Linked DNA regions of Schizosaccharomyces pombe. The gene in region 1 interacts genetically with each later gene. Each region holds a gene or a part of one and is shown on either strand. Other genes may lie near its edges. The genes, in order: nse5, nts1 and dcd1.

What was found.
Region 2: of nse5 (region 1) and nts1, extra expression of one rescues a mutant of the other (dosage rescue), as found in Schizosaccharomyces pombe (one study listed by BioGRID).
Region 3: mutations in nse5 (region 1) and dcd1 impair growth when combined (synthetic growth defect), as found in Schizosaccharomyces pombe (one study listed by BioGRID).

What each region holds. Positions count from the first base shown.
Region 1 is NC_003423.3:1,254,840-1,262,553, reverse strand, and holds nse5 (Smc5-6 complex non-SMC subunit Nse5), read right to left. Parts: upstream 4,652-7,714; coding exon 3,485-4,651; 3' UTR 3,362-3,484; downstream 1-3,361. Other genes in the region: protein dbl7, read left to right, coding at 714-1,535; AP-3 adaptor complex subunit Apm3, read left to right, coding at 1,914-1,954, 1,999-2,418, 2,467-3,283; prf1 (RNA polymerase II-associated Paf1 complex protein), read left to right, coding at 5,168-5,256, 5,307-5,480, 5,528-6,947. UniProt on the Schizosaccharomyces pombe protein: Acts in a DNA repair pathway for removal of UV-induced DNA damage that is distinct from classical nucleotide excision repair and in repair of ionizing radiation damage.
Region 2 is NC_003421.2:929,912-938,560, forward strand, and holds nts1 (protein Nts1), read right to left. Parts: upstream 5,245-8,649; 5' UTR 5,013-5,244; coding exon 4,853-5,012; exon of another isoform or gene 4,784-4,852; intron 4,374-4,783; coding exon 3,052-4,373; 3' UTR 2,826-3,051; downstream 1-2,825. Other genes in the region: proteasome assembly chaperone Pac4, read right to left, coding at 1-218; COPII-coated vesicle-associated protein Emp24, read left to right, coding at 680-773, 840-1,036, 1,167-1,475; SPOM_SPCC24B10.18 (uncharacterized protein), read left to right, coding at 2,111-2,201, 2,484-2,539, 2,593-2,727; SPOM_SPCC24B10.20 (dehydrogenase), read left to right, coding at 7,892-8,649.
Region 3 is NC_003423.3:3,456,462-3,462,122, forward strand, and holds dcd1 (deoxycytidylate deaminase), read right to left. Parts: upstream 3,859-5,661; 5' UTR 3,774-3,858; coding exon 3,454-3,773; exon of another isoform or gene 3,306-3,453; intron 3,262-3,305; coding exon 2,773-3,261; intron 2,734-2,772; coding exon 2,681-2,733; intron 2,644-2,680; coding exon 2,537-2,643; 3' UTR 2,396-2,536; coding exon of another isoform or gene 704-2,395; 3' UTR 501-703; downstream 1-500. Other genes in the region: myr1 (N-myristoyltransferase 1), read left to right, coding at 1-98, 142-339; histidine--tRNA (His) ligase Hrs1, read left to right, coding at 704-2,395; protein Csi1, read left to right, coding at 4,979-5,661.

The DNA.
Region 1 (7,714 bases):
CATGGTTTTGTTTTCAACTTTGAAAATGTGTTGCTGTGTTGTGTTGCGTTTCAAAAGTGTTGTATTATGACTTGAATTAGGAGATTGAATGCGTTTTCTCAATTATTTTGCTTATGACTATGAGTGTTTATTTTCATAAATACGTCTTTCTCATCTCGATATATTGTAAATGTAACAGGTTCGGCTCAATCTCTCATTTCTCTTCTGAGTTGCAAACTATTGCAGTGTGGTTGAAGTTCTTGTTGCTTTGCTCAATATGATGCTATTTTATTATATTTTCTCTGCTTCGTTTAATACCCAACGTACTTATTATTCGTAATTTAATCTCGTAATTACTCCGTGTTGTTTTGTAGGTCCTCCTCGTATTCCTTATTGCTGCTCTTTTCGAAAAAAAAAATATATATATATATTTTCCATAACTAAAATGGGTCTGTGGACGAAAAAATCTATTTTGTTTAACCAAATGACTAAAGTATTTGTTAACCAAAAATTATTATTTTTTTTCCACTACTTCGTATTTAATACAGCCGATCATACAGTAAAGTGCTGATTACACTCGCATGATCGTTGTCTGCTCTCACCACAAGTCATTCACTTATATCAATGTTGTGCCAGCTTTTTACGTTTAAGCTCAAAATTTCCTTTGTATCCATATATTAGGATTATTGAAATTCAATTTATTGTCAATTTATCATGCCGCAACGCTATTATACATGAGTTCCAAGAAAGTCAAATACAATCCTCGAAAAAGCGCATCTCAAAATGAAGCTACCTCAGCTTCAGCAGGTAGCAAAGCTTTTGGATTTAATTCCGCGAAAAAGGAGAAACTTCATAGAATGGCGCTGTCTATGGAAGCAATTGAAGATGTTGAGGATCAATCGTTCAATGGCAAGTCTTCCAATCTAGTCAGAAAGCGTCGGGGTTTGGATGAAGACATTGATGAATTTTCTTCTTCATCAGAGGATGAAAGAAAGCCTGCTCGACATCCTCAAAGCTCCTCTCAAAAACCATTTGCTAGCTCTACATACAACGTAGAGCTTCCAACATCTCCGACTAAAATTACCAATATCGGTCAGTCAAGCCCTAGAGCATTGCGCTACCTGTCTCCAGAATCTCAGAGAATAAAAAACGCCAAGATGAAGTCGCCTATTTCAACACATCTGGCTAAATATTCTATTCATCACATGGGTACTCCACCATCTAAACCGTCATTCTTGAGTTCTAGCGTGTCTTCCCCTGCATCTAGTAAACAAAAATCACTTTTCCAGTGCACAAAAGATCTCGAGAAGAGATATATCAATCGTGTTCATCGTTCATCTGAAACTGAGCTTGTGCAACTTTCTTCCATTAAAGTTCTCGATCGATTTCTCTCTGACATATATCTAGTTGAAGCTGAAAAAAATGAGGAAAAATGCACAGTTTTACTTCTAAAACGTTCTAATACTGATGTAGACAATAGTAGCTCTCTATCTCTTACTTTACCTTTGTGTAAATTTACCAAAAATGGGCATCAAGTACACATACATCCTTGCTGATTCATATATAATGCTTTTTGCTATATTTACACAAAGCGTAAAGTTCATTGTGATATATTTATTTGTCATATATATATATTTTTTACAAGTATCTTAATCTACGACATTTATGAAAGGTGGTTTTCTGTTTAATCTAATTAATTTTTCAACCTGAGGTTCCTGCGTACCTTTTAGCAACCCATTTAAACGGTTTAGCATGTCAACAGTAGCATGGCTTAATTACTATTAATTACTTAAATTGTTTATAAATTAGGCTTTAAAAAGATTGAGAAAGGACATCTATGGTTACCCTTTCCTGTACACTAGAAGACCTTCTTAATCCATTTACCTTCATACGTATTCATCACCAACCAACCGCTCCTTTCATAAAACTTTTGAATGAGCACAATAGAAGCAATATATCTTGTAGACACTAATGGGTATGCGTTAGCTGTTTATTTACTTTATTAATCAAGTTGACTAGGGCGTTACTACTCCAGTTGGAGTCTCGAGGAAGGACATCTCCCATAACGTTAGAACATATAAAAAACGAACTTTTTCGCTACAAACTTCGAAATGAGGAGCCTCCATTTATATTACATAACAAAAATTTTTTGATATTTCAAGAGTTAGAGGAAGATGTGCGTTTGTGTATTCCTACAACTTGCGACACTGAGCCTCTCTACATTCATGATATTATGAGACGCATTGTGGATGTAGTTAAAACATTTTTTGGTGGGTTTAATGCTTCAAAGGTCGAGAAAAATGTTTGCGTTATTGTCCAGCTATTAGCTGAAATGATTGATTATGGATATGCAACTTGTATGGAACCAAATGCATTGCAGGACATTGTACCACTCCCTAGCTTTATGAATAAGTTTATGGCAGTTACTGGTCTACAAACGTATGTTATTTAGTTTTCTGTTTTTGCAGTGCTAACCGCATGATTTAGAAATACACCGACTCTTGCAAGAGATACCGTTCCTTGGAGAACAGCTAAAGCAAAATATGCAACCAATGAATTTTTTATTCATGTACTTGAACGCGTATCAGCCGTTTACCAGCCTAACGGAAAACTTGCTTTTGGCACAGTTAAAAGTGATATGGAATGCAAATGTCAAATATCTGGTATGCCTTTACTTTTGCTGAGTTTGAGACCCGGCACAAAACTAGGGAATGTTCGGTTCCACCAGTCAGTCAATTTAAAAAGATGGAAACAACATCCGGATCAGATTGAATTCATTCCACCGGACGGAAAATTTACATTAGCTTCTTTTCAAACAGACTTTGCTACCCAGAAATCTTTGCCTGTTGTTGTTGAAGCAAAAAATAAGTTGGATGGAAGGTTCGAAGTACGTATTCGAAACACCGGGAAAAAATCCGTTGAAAATTTAAAAATCCTAATAACTATTCCTCAAGCTCTAAAGAGCGTTACGGTTACCGAGGGAAATTATATTTTTCGTGCTTCCAAGTATACTCATATGGAAGAAGGTATTCTGGAGTGGTCGGTAAAAAAATTAGCTTGGACATCCCCGGCCTTAGTGTTGACAGGATTCCTGGCCCCCTTAAAGAAAGATGCCAATTCAACCGAAGAGTCAAGTAGCTACTCTAAGCTTGAGCACCTTGATTTACAATATAAACTTCAAGGATCAACCCTTCATAATTTTAAAGTAGAGTCATTGAAGATGCTTAATCATCCAGATAAAAAATCTTATAAAGGGGTCAAGCATACAATTATTGCACAAAATGTTTCATTTCGTTTTCGGTAATAATTAATTTACTTTCTATCTACCCGTTTGTTTATTATATATTATTCATATAAATTTCATTTTCTTAGTTATCACTAATGATTATAATAATTATTTTCCACACAAAGCCTCATTCATTGAAACGATACATATAGTCTATATATATTAGGATACACAATTAATGCCAAATGACTTCTGTTAATTTGTAGTTAAATTATTAAGTTAAACGATTTTATCCAAGGACAATTTTTTTGAAATATCTAATAATACAAGCATGTCTTTGAGTATTGCCATTGGTCTATCAATACCAACTAATTCTGTTTGTTGATACATTGTGTATAACTGCTTCAACGTTGTGTAAAATAGCTCTTTATCAAAGTTGCGATCACTTTCACGAAGGGCCGAACCCAAAAATGAGACCCATGCTCGTAGATGTAGCTTCTGTCTGATTTTGTTTTTCGGAAGGGAAGTGGGTAAAAGTTGAGTTAGCTGTTTAGTAAACTCACAACGTGTATGGCGTATGTTAATTCCAATACCTATTCCTTTCATAAGTATATATTGGCTCAGGCAATACCGGAGATTGGAGGCGCCTAAGTTTCCAAAGAAAAGATCTTGTTGTTTCGCATTCAGTTTTGAAAAACGTTCGTCGAGTTTGCTAAGAAAATGAAAAGCGTCTGTCAGATGTACAACAAAAAATCTTCCCTTCGGAAGCATAGCCCATATAAGGCATAAGAGTTTGGCACCTAGGTTTGCTAGTCTTGATGTTCCTTCAAAACTATTTGAACCTCGACTTTCTGTTTTAGCAGGTGCTTTGGACATACTTGTTGCAAAAGGTGATTCCATTGTTTGCTGGGGAAGAGTGAAACAGGAGAAGCAAATTCTGATGGCATCTTGAAGTTCACACAAATCTTCTCCCATGTATTTTTTCATCAACGCAGATCCGTTTTCCTCAGCATCGATCTCTAATATCCTTAACCATATGTCCATCAAGGACATCCAACGTTCAAGGTCAGGAGGACGAGAAGACATGTATGCAATTAGATCCCAATAATCAACATCTTGGGTAAATAAGCATTGGTTGGAGAAAATCTTCAGATAATTTTCTTTAGGCATATCGTTGTCCGATAGATCATTTTCAAATGACCATGCGTCAAAGTTGATTTTGCTTCTGTTCTCAACCACCTGCTGTAATATCCAATTACAGCTTTCTTGAATATTAGAAGAGGTAGGATATTCTGGGTGGACTAGAAGAGTTATGCACATTCGTATATAACAAGCTGGAATTGGTATAGAGGTCGTCGATAGAAGATATTCTAAAACATCTAATGATTTTGGCAACAAGTCTTCTTCAATACAAAGCTCTATTATTGCCTTTAGAGCCGAGTTCATTTTGAAATGGCGTAAGCAATCTTTGCTACTTTATATGTAAAAGAAGCCAGATATGGAAGAGATATCTTATTTCTTAAAACGATTTTCTTTGTAAAAGAGCATTTAACATGTGCCCTATTTACAGTCTTGTGATTATTATTGAATGGTTTGATTCACGAATTTTATATTGTAACAAAATGCAGAATTCTCAGTTTGAAGTTTTTACGCGACAGAAGAAATATATTCAAAAAGAGGGAAAGAGGAGGACCCCAAATGAGCAGTATTTTAAAAGGAAGCTTTCAACGATAAGGTTTGTAACCAAGGAAGACAACATCTGCAAAAATTATTTCGTAAAAAAAAAATTAAAAAAAAAATCACTTTTCAAATTATAAAAACATTATTCTTTTAATGTACTAGCAGATAGTACCTTTGAAAGCTAGTAGATAAAAGTTTCGCTGCTGTTATGAAATTGGTGGAGAGTCCTTGGAACCGTTATTAGTCAGGTATCTAGCTAATCTGATCCTGTCCTCCACCAAGATGGCCGACTTTCAGGATGAATTGTTGGCATTAGCTGGTATTGATGACTCAGATGTTGCTTCAAACCGTAAAAGGGCTCATGATGATTTGTAAGAAAGCAAATTTATCGGATTGACCTTGCTAACAAAACATATTTTAGAGATGATGTGTTGAGCAGCAGTTCAGACGAAGACAATAATGAAAATGTTGGACAGGATTATGCGGAAGAGTCTGGAGGAGAAGGAAATGAGAAGTCGGAAGACGAATTTGAAGAAAAATTCAAAAACCCGTATCGTCTAGAGGGCAAGTTTAAAGATGAAGCAGACAGAGCAAAGTACGTTGATTTTTACATTTTTCATAAAGTTGTCTAACCAAATAAAGGATAATGGCAATGACGGAAATTGAGAGAGAGAGTATTCTCTTCGAACGTGAAGAAGAAATTTCAAAGTTGATGGAAAGGCGTGAATTGGCAATTCGCCTCCATCAGCAAAATGCTCAGTATATGGCGCAATCTACTAGAAGGTCTACTCGTGACAAGCCTTTAACTTCAGCAGCCGCTGGCAAACGTGATAAGCTTACTGAGCTGAAAAAGCGCCGCCAGGAACGTTCAGCTAGAAGCGTCTCTGAAAGAACTAGAAAAAGGAGCCCTGTTTCCGATTATGAAGAACAGAATGAGTCGGAGAAGAGCGAAGAAGAGGAAGGTTACTCTCCCAGCTATGCTGAGGAAAAAGTTGAACAAGTTTCAAAAGATAATGCATCCGCCAATTTGTACGATTTAAATGCAATTCGTCTTGGGCGTAAACATGTCGCGGAGTACATGTATCATCCTATCTTTGAGTCCACCGTCACTGGATGCTTTGTTCGGGTTAAAATTGGTGAGCGTGATGGACAAGGTGTATATCGCTTATGTCAAGTCAAGGGTATTTTAGAAAGCAGAAAGCCGTATCGTGTTGATGGTGTTTTAACTAAAGTTTCACTGGAATGTTTTCATGGTCGCTCGAAAAGAGTGTTCGATGTCAACGTCTTATCAAATGAGCCTTTTTCCGACCATGATTTCCAACGATGGCATCACCAAATGATGGAAGATAAGCTTTCCATGCCCTCTAAAAATTTTGTACAACGAAAGCTGAATGACCTCAGGGATATGAGTAAATACGTTTTAAGCGAAAAGGAGGTTTCTGATATTATTAACAGGAAGAAAGAGTTATCGCGTGTTCCTTCGAACATCGCTGCTGAAAAGACCCGTCTTCGTCAAAGGAGACAAGCTGCTTATGTTGCTGGTAATGCAGAATTGGTCAAGGAGATTGACGATCAATTAAACACTTTGGAAGAACTTTCCATGGGATCTAACCAAAATAGTAATTCTGCCATGGATCAACTTGCCAAAGTGAATGAACGTAATCGACGCCGCAACCATACCGAAATTCGCCTGGCAGAGCAGCGTATGAATGAAGAACGAAGACGCCTCTCAGCAGCGGCTACTGCCACACCAATGTCTGCACCTACTTCCGTACTGACGGGAACAAGTCCTCAACCTTCACCTTCCCTTTCTACCTCCATTATGTCTACCCCAAAGCTGAACCCCAGTGAATCAGTCGTCGTTGCCTCTGAAAAGGCATCATCTCCTGACCTGAGTCCTAAGCTATTACCTTCTGAATCCCAAATTTTTGACGAAGGCATTGCAGTGACTCAAACCCCGAACACGTTGGAGGACAAAGATTTCAAACTTCACGAAAAAGCTGTTCACGGAATTGATGATATTATTGCTACTGTGGATTTTGGCATTGATATCAACATTTAATTCTCAGTATTCTCGCGTTTTATTTATTATTATCCTAGTTTGCAAAAATCATCCAGGATTATATAAACCTGTCAGCTTTTTTCTTGTTTGTTTAGCTTTTGAAAATCCCTCCTACATAAAATTTACTGTTTCCGTTACTTTGGTTTAGAGTAGTGGAATATTAATTCAGAGGAAAGATTCTAATGCAGCCGTATTGCCTTCCTCTTGATGTTGACAATGATTTTGAATGAAGTTTCGTTTTTATAATTATTTTTTTGCTTTTTTTCTTATTAGATCTTTATCTTCCTTTTGTTTTTGGTTTTTTCACACCTTAATTTTTGGTTTAAAATTGTAGTTGAGAAACCATTCTCACATTTTTTTGTCATTTTTCTAGTTTTAAATTTTATGAAACTTTTAAATATGAAACCGGTACTATTAAATAAATTACTCCCTTGGACTAGGGTTGTTTTTTGAAATGTCTAAATTATGGAGGATATCAAACTCAGTTGACAGTAAAACTATGTTTAATTCTCGAGCTCATTGCTAATTTTTTTTTAAAAAAAAAAATAAAAATTAAGAGCAATTATTACTGATTAAACAATTTTTGCCATTTTACTAATAATTCTTCATTTGCTAAGGAATTTATAAAACAACAGCAATTCAGTCTTTTGCTGACAATTATTATCAATGATGCTTTAAAACTCTATTTATTACCCCATCATATTTTATTTTCTCATACCGATAATGCCGATTTTTGATTAAATGTATTTGGCTTTTGTTTATTATAG
Region 2 (8,649 bases), on another chromosome or scaffold:
GTAGAAAGATCGTCAATTGAGCCAGCACCAGTAAGTTTGGTAGTAACGACATCCGATTTACCTGGCATGGAAAGGGCTAAATCACCTGCAGGACATGTTGAAACATTGCTTCCCCATACAAAGATAGAAGAGGATGGATTCAGCTTTATGACTTGTATCCATACTTTTGGTATCATTGCATTCCCAAAATCAAGTTCTTTTTGGATGACTTGAAACATGGTAAAACAATTATTTTTTTTTAAAAATTCAAAGAAAGAGAGGACAAGCAAAGTGTGGCTTTAAAATGTTGGCAAAAATATTATGAATACAACAGTAAAGGTTTTCGAACAAATGGCAAGTTCATGCAAAACCTAATTAATAGGAGAGAAAAAAAAATAAAATGAATTGATGTTCAATAATAAGTTAAATACAAAATAAACGAAGTTTTGGAGAATTACTAGTTATACTCTGAAGACAAGAATGATTTAATAATTTCCACAGAAATAAGGAAAGATACCGTATTACGTTTTTTTTATAAAGACATCGTATTTTTTCTTAAGCAAATTTAACGTAGCGTCGCCTAATTTCACAGTTGTGCTTTGTTTATGCACGGTTGCCCTCCAACTAGTGCTTTGTACGTTTCCTCTACCATAGACCTCATTCTTGCTGCTTCAAAGAGCAAAGAGCTTTACTTTGCAAAATGGCGTTTTTTAACGTATTTAAAGCCGTGTTATGTGCTTATTTTATATCTGTTGTTTTCGGTCATGGCATTACATTGAAACCGCATCAACGAGGTATGTAATTTCAGTGTATTTGTGTTGAGATTCATGGAGTATACAATGCTAATGAAGCAAACTTAGAATGTTTCTATGAAAATTTGAGGAATAATGATCAAATGTCTGTCACTTATCAAACAAACGTTGGTGGTGATCAGCTTGTTTCTATGAGTATCTACAATCCTGCGGGTCAAATTATGCATCAAGAGGTTCCCAACTCTATGGCCCAATATTCTTTCACCGTTAAGAACCCAGGGAAATACATGTATTGTTTCTATAATGTATGTGTTATCTTTTTGTTTTCTGGCATCAAAGCCTGGCATTATGGTCGTCATTTCCCATGTCGTCTAATTGTTTGATGGTTGAGCCGGAAACAGCTAGATGTACAATCTTAACTAACAACATCAATAGGATGCACTCGATGGTGAATCAAAGGAGGTTTTATTCAATGTGCATGGTGTTATATATATCTCTGATGAAGATTTGGATGCTAACAATCCTTTACTCGGCAAGGTCCGCCAACTCCATGATACCATCTCCAAGGTAAAACATGAGCAGGAGTATTTTGTGGCTCGTGAAAGAATACATCGCAATACTGCTGAAAGCACAAATGACCGCGTCAAGTGGTGGAGTATTCTTCAAACCGTTATTCTAGTTTCCGTATGTGTATTCCAAATTTTCTACTTAAAGCGACTTTTCGAAGTAAAGCGTGTTGTATAGTTTATCCGCATAACGTTACTTATTGTTCGCAATAAGTTTTCCGTGCGACTGGACGACGGTCGTAATTTCAAGATTCTGCTTGAGCAGCAAAAAGTATTATAATTGGTCTCTATTTGAAGCTGGCCATCACCGACGACTAAATTTTTTTTAAAAAATTTTATTTCCTGTCGGTTGCTGGCGTTTTCCCTTTCAATCTGAATCTTTAATCTGTCTTTTACTTGTGCAGGTTAATGTTTTCTTTTATGATCTCGCCTGTTCTTTAAAAAAAAAGATTCGTTATGTTTGAAGCAATCATTTAGCAAACGTACGTGTTTTTTAATGAATTTTAAAGTCTTAATTTCTTAAATCATTCTGCACTGTGGGAAACACTGCACTTTAACTTTCACATTTTATGGCATTCCGATCTTTCTAAAGGTACACTTTTTTTATAGACGGTAACATTAACAGTATAACAATTCCCTCATTATACATTTGCTTATAAAACGAATTATTTAGTCTGTAATGCCACTTGTATGTATTACTTATTGCTGTATTCATGGCGATGTTTGTTACCTCCTTCTAATGTTACCTTCAAAGTATCTATGAAAATTCATTTACTACACCAAACTATAACCATTACCATTTATCGTAACTCAATGGCACAAGGAGAATTTAAAAAGAAGAAAAATAGTAGTGCCAACAAGGGCGGACGTGTTACAAAACACTCCAAGAATCCTAAAAAAGGCGGTATGTCAGCTGCAACTGTCAAATATTCGGTGATCTTTGTATGCTAGGGAATTTGGTTTAGGGATGTTTCTTTTAATATTTTAAGCTCATTGAAGTTGTTGGACAACCTTTGTGGTGCTATAAACTCTTCATCTTTTCGTAACTTTAGATACTCATTATAGTAAAATTTTTCATTAAATTTTTTGATACACGTTTCAATCATTTTACTCTTAAGCATACAAGATATCATATTATATGGTTTATCATTCATCATTAATACTCATTACTAACCTTGACTTTTAGCTCGTTATTGTGCCCCTAGAAGAGCAGCTGCTATCAAAGACCATACAATTAATGCGGTATGTTTTAAAATTTACTTTTATATATGTTCTTTTTGCTAATATCTTTAAAGAACATTACAAAAACATTAAATGTTCGCAATGAGAAACTAATTGCCGGAATTGCGTCTCAACAAGTGGGCAAGTTGACAATTACTAAGGCATTAGGTGAAGCTGGTGCCAAGGAGTTAAAGGAGGGAAAGCATTGAGTCGTTTGGTATTTCTTTTTGTGTAACTGTTTTGTTCCTTTTCAAAAGGAGGTAAATGGCTACACTTGATCATACTGCATTTATCGAATTGTAGCATTGGTTTTGGAATTTTATTACTATTATGGTTAAGTATACAGGGAATTCGGTTCATTTTTGATTATTATTTATAAATTAATTTTGTTGGGAAATGAGTAAACGTTATATACAAATATTGTTGTTTGATAATTTTCTTTAAATAATTAGACTCAGTAGTGTTCCAAATAAAAAGCTCGTAATTCTAAGATTAATAATTATGTTCCACAAAAAAAATGCTTTTAAACATTCTTAAGTCCTCGTTCGTTTGTTTCGCGATAAGTTTACAGAAGTAGTTTTCGTTTTGGAGTTCTGTCCTCGCCCAGAATTTGACTCTGCATTTGAAATGGCTTTATTTAAAATTCTCCACTCCTGCTGCCATGTGTCGAGTAATGTTCTAATTCTTTTAATCTTTACTCGTTTTTCTGGAGTATCTTCCGGTGGGTGTTCTCTTTTAAGAAAATCAATCAGCTCTGAAAGCTCTTTCTCTGAATCGGAAGATTCCAATTCTATTCTCTCTTCCGCTTCAACTTTCCCGTCACCGTTAACTTCTAAATCAACTTCTTCTTTAATGCTTTCTTTTTCCGAAGTAGCCGTTGTTCCTTCTACCGGTTTGTGATGGCCACGTAGCATTTCTTCTGTTGCCGCAGTCGCTTTTTCAACATTTTTTCTGCTTTTGTTCTCTTGAATGTCATTAAGTTCTTTCAGCACTTCAGTTGTGTTTGTTGTAGTGCTTTCGGGAACCGGTGATGATTTGGTCGAAGTAGTGGTACTTGTTAAGTAAGAGATTCTAGGTACGATATTTTCTTCAGGGATTTGATCACGTTGAGGGCGTATGTCATAATTGATTTTCTCAACAACGGCTGCAATCTGTTGTTTCAGAATACTCGAAGATTTAACCTCTGATGAAAACCTTTCCATTCGAGGGTTAATAGGCTTTGATACGTTCTCGACATTATCAGCGCTTTCCAAAGCTAAATTAGGAAAAGACATTGGCGTCCCTTGTGTTGATCTCAATGTTGACGAAGTAAATATATCTGAAACGACCAACACTCTTTGGGCCTTCAAAAAAGCCAAAAGAACTGAAGGATTGGACCATAATTCATAAGCATTTCGAAATGATGGATCATAAAATATTTGACTTCCATACTGAATACAGAGATTAGCCACAGCTTTCCGATCACAGGTATGCTGTGATACACGGATTAACCAAGTAGGGTCAACGGCTAGTAAAGTAGCATGCGTGGTATTTGTTTCAACGTCGGTTTCCAAAGAGTCTAAACATTGTATGACAATTTGATTTAAGAAGTTTTTTTCCTCAACGGGAGTGGCCGTTTTTTTCTGTGCTTCAGTGAGAGTAGCATAGGAGTTAAAGTCCTGCACTTTTGAGGTTGAAATGCTAGCGACTGCAGAGTCTCGAACAGGGACGAACGCTGAGTTGGGAGTTAGCCGACAAATGTTTTCTTCTTTGTTGGCAAACCGCAAACTGCGGTATTGTCGGATTAGTACGGGACGCGCATAGGTTTTTCGACTACTAAGATCCTCTGCATCTATTGGAAGTCTTTCATAAGGAACTGCATTAACGGTTAGAAATTTTAATAAAAAAGAAATAAAACATCAAAAAAGAAATCGATTTTTCAAGTGACATTGTAGTAGATTTGAATTTTCAGTCATCATAATTTTTTTATACAATCATTTGCTTTACAGAAAACTGTACGGTTAAATCTCCCAAACATTTTTCCTAGGGAAATAAAAACCCAAGGGCTAAATGTTGAAATCAACCATTCAATTTCGAACAGAAACAACAAAAAATATAATTAACGACCAACGCCACAGTCTCATCCAACCACTCATGCCAAGTCATGAATAGAGTAAAATTTTATATGTTTCTTTGAGAAAATTGAATTGATATAACCTTAGAGTTATAGGCGTGCAAAATGTTTGATAAAAGATCATCAAAATTGCTATCAAGCATACGACGATCAATTGAAAATTCACAATTTTAGAAAAAGCGATAAAAATAAACTTGATTATATCTAATATTCATTCTTACCTAGAGTTAAAAGGCAGTTGTACAAACGACCTCGATCGTCATATTCAAAAATGTTGCGAACGAATGTATCAAGTTCCTCGGTCTGTAGAGGATGGAATGCACTCTGCAAAAATGAAAAGAACTCATCAATATCCGGTTTTTTTTGACACGATTTCACCATTACTCTGTGAGTTTTGAGTCATATATATTAAGTAGATCAATGTTGTCTTCAGTTATTAAGAAACAAATAGCGAGGGTATTGAAAGGAAATATATACCAAAAAAACAAATATTTTAATGAATTCAGTTAATCATGTGTCAATAAATTGTGAATTTAATCTCTATATTATTAACAAATTGATTCAAGTGCTCCGTCGACTGATTCACTGTCTGCAATACTGTTTGGTAGTTTGCAAGTTTCAACGGTAGTCGATTACTAGAACGTAAACATATACTTTACACAATCACTACATGTTAAAACACTTGAAAACAAAAATTCCAATAAGCTTTAATTTCTATTAAAATTTACATCTCTATTGTTTTGACACCAAAAGCGCTAAGGTGAAAGTATACGATAAAATGTAAGTACGGTACAAAAAATACAAAGCAATTCCTCCCGGCACTTTGAGAAGGAATTCATCCTGACGAGAGTCAGAACAAAAAAAGAGAGAGGATCGTGCTTTATTACCAGACGTTCTGATAATCATTACTGAGACATATCAGTGATGCAATCCTTAGTGCTGCAATAATAATTAAAGAATATTTCAAGGAACTAAAGGAATCTTTCTAACTTTGATTATATAAAATAATTTTAATATTCTAGTGATGAAAAGATTATTCCTCGTTCGTTTTTTGGTTTACTATTTCATTTATCACGAATAGTGCTACAACTAATATGTAAACTTTTACGTTTAATACTGATGAATCATGTGAGATGTCGATTGAAATCTTTAAAAGATATTCTTACGTATAACTAACTCTCAACTTCTTTTATAGCCACGGTTGTAATATTTCTATTACATAGGATTCATCTGCATTAGGACAGTTAATTTCAAACAAATGGATACTTCTGTAGTTTTCTGAAATGTCTTCTCGAATTTTTTACCTCTCATTTAAATGAATTATAAGAAGCTAAAGAACAATATAAATTTTTTGTGTAATTGGCAATACTACATTACAGTTAAGCCCCAAGAAGCGAGTAGAGGCACATAGTAGGGGAACTAAAGGCTCCGAAGGCCTTTACTTCAATCTTTAGGTTCATAAAATATATAACTTAAAATAACATGTCTTTTTAAATGGTAATTTATTGAATAAAACCTATTTTCAATTAACAGTGGGAGATGGGAAATTTAGTGTTTAAACATTGATTAACAATGAACTATACGAGGTAACGCAGAATATGTGTTACCCATTCAGCAAATCTTAATTGTTCATGAATCGTGGATAAGCAAGGAATATACGATCCATACATTTTTAAATACGAAGAGAATGTTAGAGAATTTCATCGATGGAAGGTCATTTTACTACTGAGAGGTAACGGTAGAATACTGCTTTTGCATTTTCCAACTTGACAGGGTTCATTCGTCAAAATCGAATATAAAGCGAAATTACAATAATAGCAAGATAGCCGTGGCATACAATTAGGTGTTATTTTATCAATTGGTGAATCTTAATACCAAATAAGAATAATGTGTATTCTGAAAGAGAGGTGCAGGAAAATGCGTATAAAGCAAGAGGAAACAGCAAAAAAAAATTATATTAATTTTGAACAACATCATTTCATCTCAAGATAAATTTGTTCCATTAGTCAATTTTTAAACATCATCAGTTTTGATAGCCCTACGGTCGGCGAATTTGCAACTTTGCATATGACACTTAAATTTAATATTTGGGATAAAAGTAAATATGGCTTGACCTCAAAAGAATGCATTTGAAAATTAACAAAATTGTATGTTTTCGGGGGGTTTTTTTTTTTTTTTTTTTTTTTTTTAAATGATCAGTGAATTTTATAAGGTATCCGATATGATTTTAACCCAGATTCAAAAACAGGAATATTATTTTATTACATTAAATTTTTGAAGCATCAAAGTCGGATATGTTTATTTTTAAACGAAATTGCTTAACAAAAGAAAATATTAAAAAAATAAAGTCTGATCATTAACAAGCTATATGATGTTTACAAAATCTACCAAAAAAAAACACATATATAAATAAAAGAGGAAGAATGAAAATTACATTTCTCGCAGTAAAAATAAAACACTAAAAGAGCTAGTGCGTACAAAACACTCCATAAATATAAAATAAATGAACATACAACAGAAAAACCATGAAATTTTCTTACACCCTTGATATCCTTTCCTACCTACTAAAGTAGATTAACAGTGTAGAAAGAAAGGAGCGATATATAAAGCAAAACGCTATATTTACTTTACGAAGCACCTTTCAAAACGTTACAGTAGCTGTACATTCTGTCAGGTTCCTTTATAAAGTCAGTTGCAAATTGAAATATAACGTAGCCTGTCATTAAGTTGCTTATATGAAATAGAAAAAAAACCTTCACTATCGATATATAGTTAGACAACGCAAGTTAGCACCAGTTGGTAAATTTGTAGCAATAAAAATGTGAATCCGCTACATTGTTTGTATGTTTATTATCGAAATGTATTGCCAATTCTTTAGTTATAGTAGCTTTATCTAGTAGCAAATGGAGGAATGATACCTGATAGAATTCAGCAGCCTTTTACTTTAAAACTGCTGTCCCAAACTCAGACTAGAGATACCAGCTACGACTTTAGGGCTTAATTTGGGCAAAAGAGCATAATGTCATTCATAAAGCATATTGATTGATTAAATAATAACGTATTATTGTTTAGTGACTATAGTTTAAGAACTGTGCGACGATGCATTTGCAGATCTTTCTGACTTGATACATTATGCGTGAGCGCAACTGTTTTACACCTCCAACCAAGTAGGCTAGGCAAGACGACTGACCTTGATATAAAGAATTATTGTTGAAAAAAATCATCACCTTGAATCTTTTTGAGTCATTTTATGCTAAAACATGTCGGCTGCTGGTGGGATAGTTTACGTTATTGTGGGTGGAAACCGTGGCATTGGACTTTCTCTAGTCAAAGAGTTAAGCAATAAGGAAGGAGTAACTGTTTTTGCAAGTGCTCGTGGACCTGGATCTGCCTCTGAACTGAAAGATTGGAGCAAGACCCATTCCAATGTACATATCATCAAGTTAGATGTCACTTCTCTACGAAGTGCCAAAGACGCTGCCATGCAGGTTGAAAAGGTAGTAAAATGTATTGATGTTCTTTGGGTGAATTCGGGGATATCGAAATCCTTCCAACCTGTTTTGAAAACATCAGACGAGCTTTGGATGTCTCATTATCAAACCAATGTGTTAGGTCCTATTCATGTTTACCAAGCTTTTTATCACTTGTTAAAGGAGGGAAAGCTAAAGAATATTGTTTTTACTTCATCAATGGCTGCGTGCATGGGAGGAGTTCGTCCAAACACATACTCGGCTTACGGGCAATCTAAAGCAGCCTTAAATTATACGATGAAAGAAATTAGTTTTGAGTTAGAGAAAGATGGATTCGTTGTAGTTTCTATTCACCCTGGAGTAGTTAACACTGACATGTTTGTTAATGCTATGCAAAAATTAGCCAGCAAATATCCTGAGATGGTAGAATCCATCAAGAGCAATGCCATCTCACCAGAGCAAAGTGCTTCATCTATGCTTAAAATTGTGGATAATTTAAAAACAGAGGATAATGGAATGTTTTATAACCTTGATGGCACAAAACTTCC
Region 3 (5,661 bases), 2.2 Mb from region 1:
CTGATTCTTGTCCAAAAGACTTATCTTCTGAATCACAGTTGGCATTCGTTGAACGTTGTAAATTGATAGTTAATGATGCTCTTATATTGGCTAAAAAGGTAAGTTTATATGGTTTTATTACTTGCTAATAATTCAAAACAGTTCCACTTTGATGTATTCAATGCTGTTACGGTTTTGGATAACAATCTATTCTTGAAGGACCTAAAATTTGGAGAAGGAGACGGTTTTTTGAACTATTACATCTATAATTATAACTGTCCAAAAATTCCTGGAGGAATCGATGCTTCTAAAAGTGTTGATTATTCGAGGCCTAGTGGAATGGGTTTTGTAATGATTTAAATCCTAAAATATTAAAATACATTATTTTTGATTTTTTTGAGTGTTTTTACTATTTTAAAAAAGTCCATATTTTAAAAGGTTTTTTGATATTAAATTTTTACTTATAGAACTTGTCATTTCACAAATATTAGGTTTTTAAATTTATAAAAAATATATAATAACTAGTTTTTATTTTCAAATGAAATTATCCCACTTGGTTTGCATAACATAAAATCCAAAAAATTTTCAATGTTTCATTATCCAAGGTTCTATATTTTTTTCTTGGTTATTTAATCAACATGACAAATGGTTTCATTAGTCCTTCAATCACCGTAAAATGTATTTAAATGGATGTAATACTGAGATTTGCATTTTCAGTTAGTGCATGTTTGTTTTTACCAAAAACCTATTCACCACCAAATTTTCGTCTAGCCTCTTAAATTGGCGTTTCTTGAGAACTATGGCTGATTCTCTAGTAGATATAAATGAAAGAATAACTTCACAAGGAAATCTTGTTCGATCTTTGAAAAGTCAAGGCGCCTCTAAAGAGGACATTGATAAAGAAGTTGCTAAATTACTTCAACTGAAAAACCTCAAACTTGGGGGTTCGGAAGTATCAGGAAAGAAAAAAGACACATCTTTTACACTGAAAACTCCGAAGGGTACTAAAGATTGGTGTGACAAAGATGTTGTTTTACGTGAGCACATTTTTTCAACTGTCACAGAGATATTCAAGCGTCATGGTGGTGTAACACTCGATACGCCAGTGTTCGAATTGAAAGAAATTCTTTCCGGAAAATATGGAGAAGACAGCAAGCTAATTTACGATTTGAAAGATCAAGGTGGAGAGCTTTGTTCTTTGAGATACGACTTGACTGTTCCATTTGCTCGTTGGTTAGCTATGAATCCCAAAGTTACGAGTATTAAGCGATTCCATATTGCAAAGGTTTATCGAAGAGATCAGCCAGCTATGACAAAAGGCCGTATGCGTGAATTTTATCAATGCGATTTTGATATCGCTGGCAACTACGATCCTATGATTCCCGATTCTGAAGCTTTAAAGGTTTTAGTGGAAGCATTAGATGCATTAGAAGTTGGAAATTATACTATCAAGCTTAATCATCGAAAAATTTTGGATGGCATTTTTACTGTTTGTGGTGTACCGGATGACAAAATTCGTACCATTTCCAGTGCTGTGGACAAGCTAGATAAACTCCCTTGGGAAGATGTCAGACGTGAAATGGTGGTTGAAAAAGGACTTAAAGAGGAGGTGGCAGATAAAATTAAGGAGTATGTGTTATTAAAAGGCGACCGCTCTCTTTTAGATAAGCTTGAAGCCGATAGTTTACTATCAAGCAATAGCTCGGCTGTTGCTGCATTTAACGACATGCGTCTTTTATTTGATTATTTGGAAGCTTTTGGAGTGTTAGATAGGTTTTCATTTGATATGTCTCTAGCGCGTGGTCTCGATTATTATACTGGTATCATTTACGAAGCAGTAACAGAGGCTTCTGCTCCAAAGATTAAGAGTTCGGCGGAAAAGAAAAAATCTGCTGATCCTGAAGCAGATCGTTCCAATGATGACTCTATTGGCGTTGGTTCGATTGCTGCTGGTGGACGTTATGACAATTTAGTTGGAATGTTTGCTGCAAAGAAAAACGCCAAAATCCCTTGTGTTGGCATTAGCCTTGGTTTAGAGAGGATTTTTTCAATTCTTAGATCAAAAATTCCTGATGAGGATATCCGTGCAAATGATGTTGATGTTTTCGTTATGGCATTTGGAGGTGGAAAAGAATGGACCGGCTTTTTGAAAGAGCGTATGTCTGTTTGTAAAGACCTTTGGGCAAATGGCATTAAAGCAGAATTTCTTTACAAAGTGAAACCCAAACCACGTCAACAATTTGACGCCGCCGATAAATTCGACGTACCTTTTGCTGTAATTTTGGGTCAAGATGAGTTTGCAAAGGGATCTGTTCGTATTAAACAAATGGGTTTAAAAGAAAATAGCGATGAAGGTCAGCTTGTGCCACGTGAGGAAATGGTATCAGTTTTGAAAAAGTTACTTAAATACGATTAAATATTCCTATAGCTCAATAATAATTATTGTATTATTTGATTGTTATCTCATCAATATTGTAAGTATTAAATAAAGATATTAAAATCGTATTTTCTGCAATCAAAAAGAGCGGTAATCTAAAAAGTAAGTTCTGTTATTAACTTAGAAAATGCTGTTTTCCGGAGGAATATATTGTCGTAATTGAACTCCTGCGGCTTGAAGGAGAGAAGCGGTATGGGAGTCCATGTTGTAAGACGTATGATAGACAACTGAGCATTAGTAAAAGATTAAAGAACTGAAACATACCTTCTTTAATCCCAAGCTGAGTAATCTTGACAGAACACGTAAGACAGGGACATCTTTCGACTGTTAGTAGCTTTATGTCTATATTTACATACGTATCACAGTATAATATTGCATTGTTTCCAACGCGTTCACGGCCAGCCTCTAAAAGAGCGTTTTCTTCGGCATGAAGACAAAGACAGGTATCAAGTTCTTTTCCACAGGAAGAAGCAGAATTGCAACGTGGACATCCGCCTTCATTACAGTTAGTGGCTCCTCTAGGTGTTCCATTGTAGCCTGTCGCAATAACACGATTTCCTCGCACAAGTACGCAACCGACGCGACGTTTCATACAATTGCTACGCTTCGCAGCCAGACTTGCCATTTCCATAAAGTACGAATCCCATGATGGGCGAAATCTATTGGGATTCAAAAGATCGGCTTTTTGAAGCTTCTCCCATAGATGAAGTTTAATATTGCTATCATTATTTATAAGTAAATTAGCCAATGCTCGGTGTCGAGTTCCAGCATTATCAGATTGAAATGCAGCCGCGTCTTGGATACTACAAAATTCTTCAAGTGTGGTATTCGCAAGAGAAGAATAACTATATGTCATCATTATTATTTCACGCAATATTCAGTTAATCATGAGGAGCTTATGTAACCGTGTAATTTCGAGCATGAAATGAATGAAACTAACAAGATATTAAGGTCCTTACACTGAACACATTGCGTGAAGAATAATGACAATGAATTTAAAGTTAGCAACAACATGTTGACATTGCAATATTACATACGTTTTGTAGCGATTGAACCTGAGCATAATTGGGGCATCAATATATACAAGCAAAAAGAACGGACGTTTGAGCAATGCACTTAACAAACGTGGACTATGAATTCCATTAATTACAAATCTTTCGCGCCATCTTGGAGTGAGATAGCTAATAAGATCGTCAACGCTGCCAAGGACTAAATCGCCAGTTCTATATATATATTCTCCATCCTCGTTTAGTTGTGGTAATCGAAAAATAGCATTGAAACCATGCTTTGTCTCAAGGTATTCAACAACGGCATCTTTTCCACTACATAATGGCCCTGTAAGACCAACAGTTGGCATATTTATTTGCTTAATAAATCAAACAAAGCTACTTAAGCTTAAGAAACGTATTTCAGTTTGATTATCTCCCCAAATAGTTAGAGATAGATCGGTTTTAACGTACTCACATACCTAATGATACTAACTATCAATACCAACAACGAGTTGCGAAAATGCTAACTTTCAATTTCGTAAAACTATGCTTCTATAATCTGTAATCTTTTTAAAAAATAAAATATATATTTAATGAGATTAAAAACTATTTGCTTCCAAATCTTCACGAATCCTTGAATATTTCAGATTTTACGTTTCACTGTACTGGACCAAGAATCTAAAAAATCCTTTTAGTGAATTCGAATAAAGTCGTTTTTGGTTTTAAGTGTATTGACCTCTCTTTTGCTGGTCACGCTAAAGTTTAGAGCACTCAAAAGTTGTACTTAAGTGCTGTGTACTTCAACAGCAACAACAATAAGATCATTAACTGTATATTGTTAAGGAGAAACTCGGAACAAACGCATTCAACTAACAATGAAACCATTTTTATCTAATTAATGTTCATCACATCAAATTTGATAATGAGCGCATTTCATGTAAACTCATGTGAAACGATGGAATCTGTCGAATAATATTTTTTATGTGCGAATATTCAGAATTCTTCTAAAAGTCCAGTAATTACATACTAATCGTTCGTAAAATTATGTTTACGGTTAGATTACTATTGCATCGTAGGCCTAGCATTAATTGTCAAGTCAGCAATTCAACAATGATATTTATATGTGGCACATATTCTTTTTCTCAACATCCTATTTAATGATATTGGAAAATTTTTTTGTTTTCGGGAAATTAAAACACTACAGAACTCAACTGGACTGAGGAAGAGGTTGAGTTATGAGCAGCTTCAGTAGTAAGTTAGAAGGTTAACTTCACGTACCAACTTAATTAATAATCGAGCTCACAGCAACATAAGTGATGATTGTTGGTGATTTAACGTATCATTAAAGCTAATTACAGACTACATAATAAGCATTAAGCCATTAACGTGTACTAGGTAATACTCACGACCGTACTGTAGAGCTCGGTAAGATCGTAATTTTGTCAAGTTTCCTGAGGTTTAATAACCCTTTGGTTGCAAATTATTGTTAATCACGATCTTGTAACTCCTATAATTATTGAAGTCAGTTTGCAAAGAATTTAGAATTTAAATCACCAAATAATTTGGGCATGAGATGAGTTTCAATCCTGCAGCTGGACTGCTGGGAAAATTAAAGAAATTATGGAATGATACAAAAAACGATTATTTGGAATGGGAGCGAAGCCAACAAGGTCAAATTAGTGAGTCAGTGGTTAAGAATCACTCACCCTCAAAGCGAAAGCGACGGCCATCGAAGGAGCCTTCCCTATCACCTAAGCGAAGAAAAAATATTTTAAATGATCAAAAAAAAGATGAAGAGTCAATACCTAATGCTGGTACACAATCACAAAATTTTACTCACTTAAGTGCATCTAAAATTCGTATCTCAGATGAGGATCGAATTAAGCCATTGGTAGATTTAAATCAAGATCACTCTTTTGACATGGCATACTTAACACCTGCAAGCGCTCCCCCTCCGCGATTTCGATTTGTACCTCCAAAATCTGACGCGAAATCTCATTCGGCTCCTAGATCGCTAGAAGGTGTTACTAGCTTATCTGATTCTCATTTCAATTCCCTTGAAGCAAACTTAAAAGCGATTTCGAAAGATAGCAACAATAAAGCGCACAATAATCGTTATGATGAGTCTTCGCTTACGAACCCTGAATTTTCCATCCTTGTTGAGCGTTTAAAAAGTATTGAAGAAAATTTACAAAGCCTGCAGGAAAGGATTTCTCATTGTGAGCGTTCAGTTAGTCTTAGCCCATCTTTTGCTCC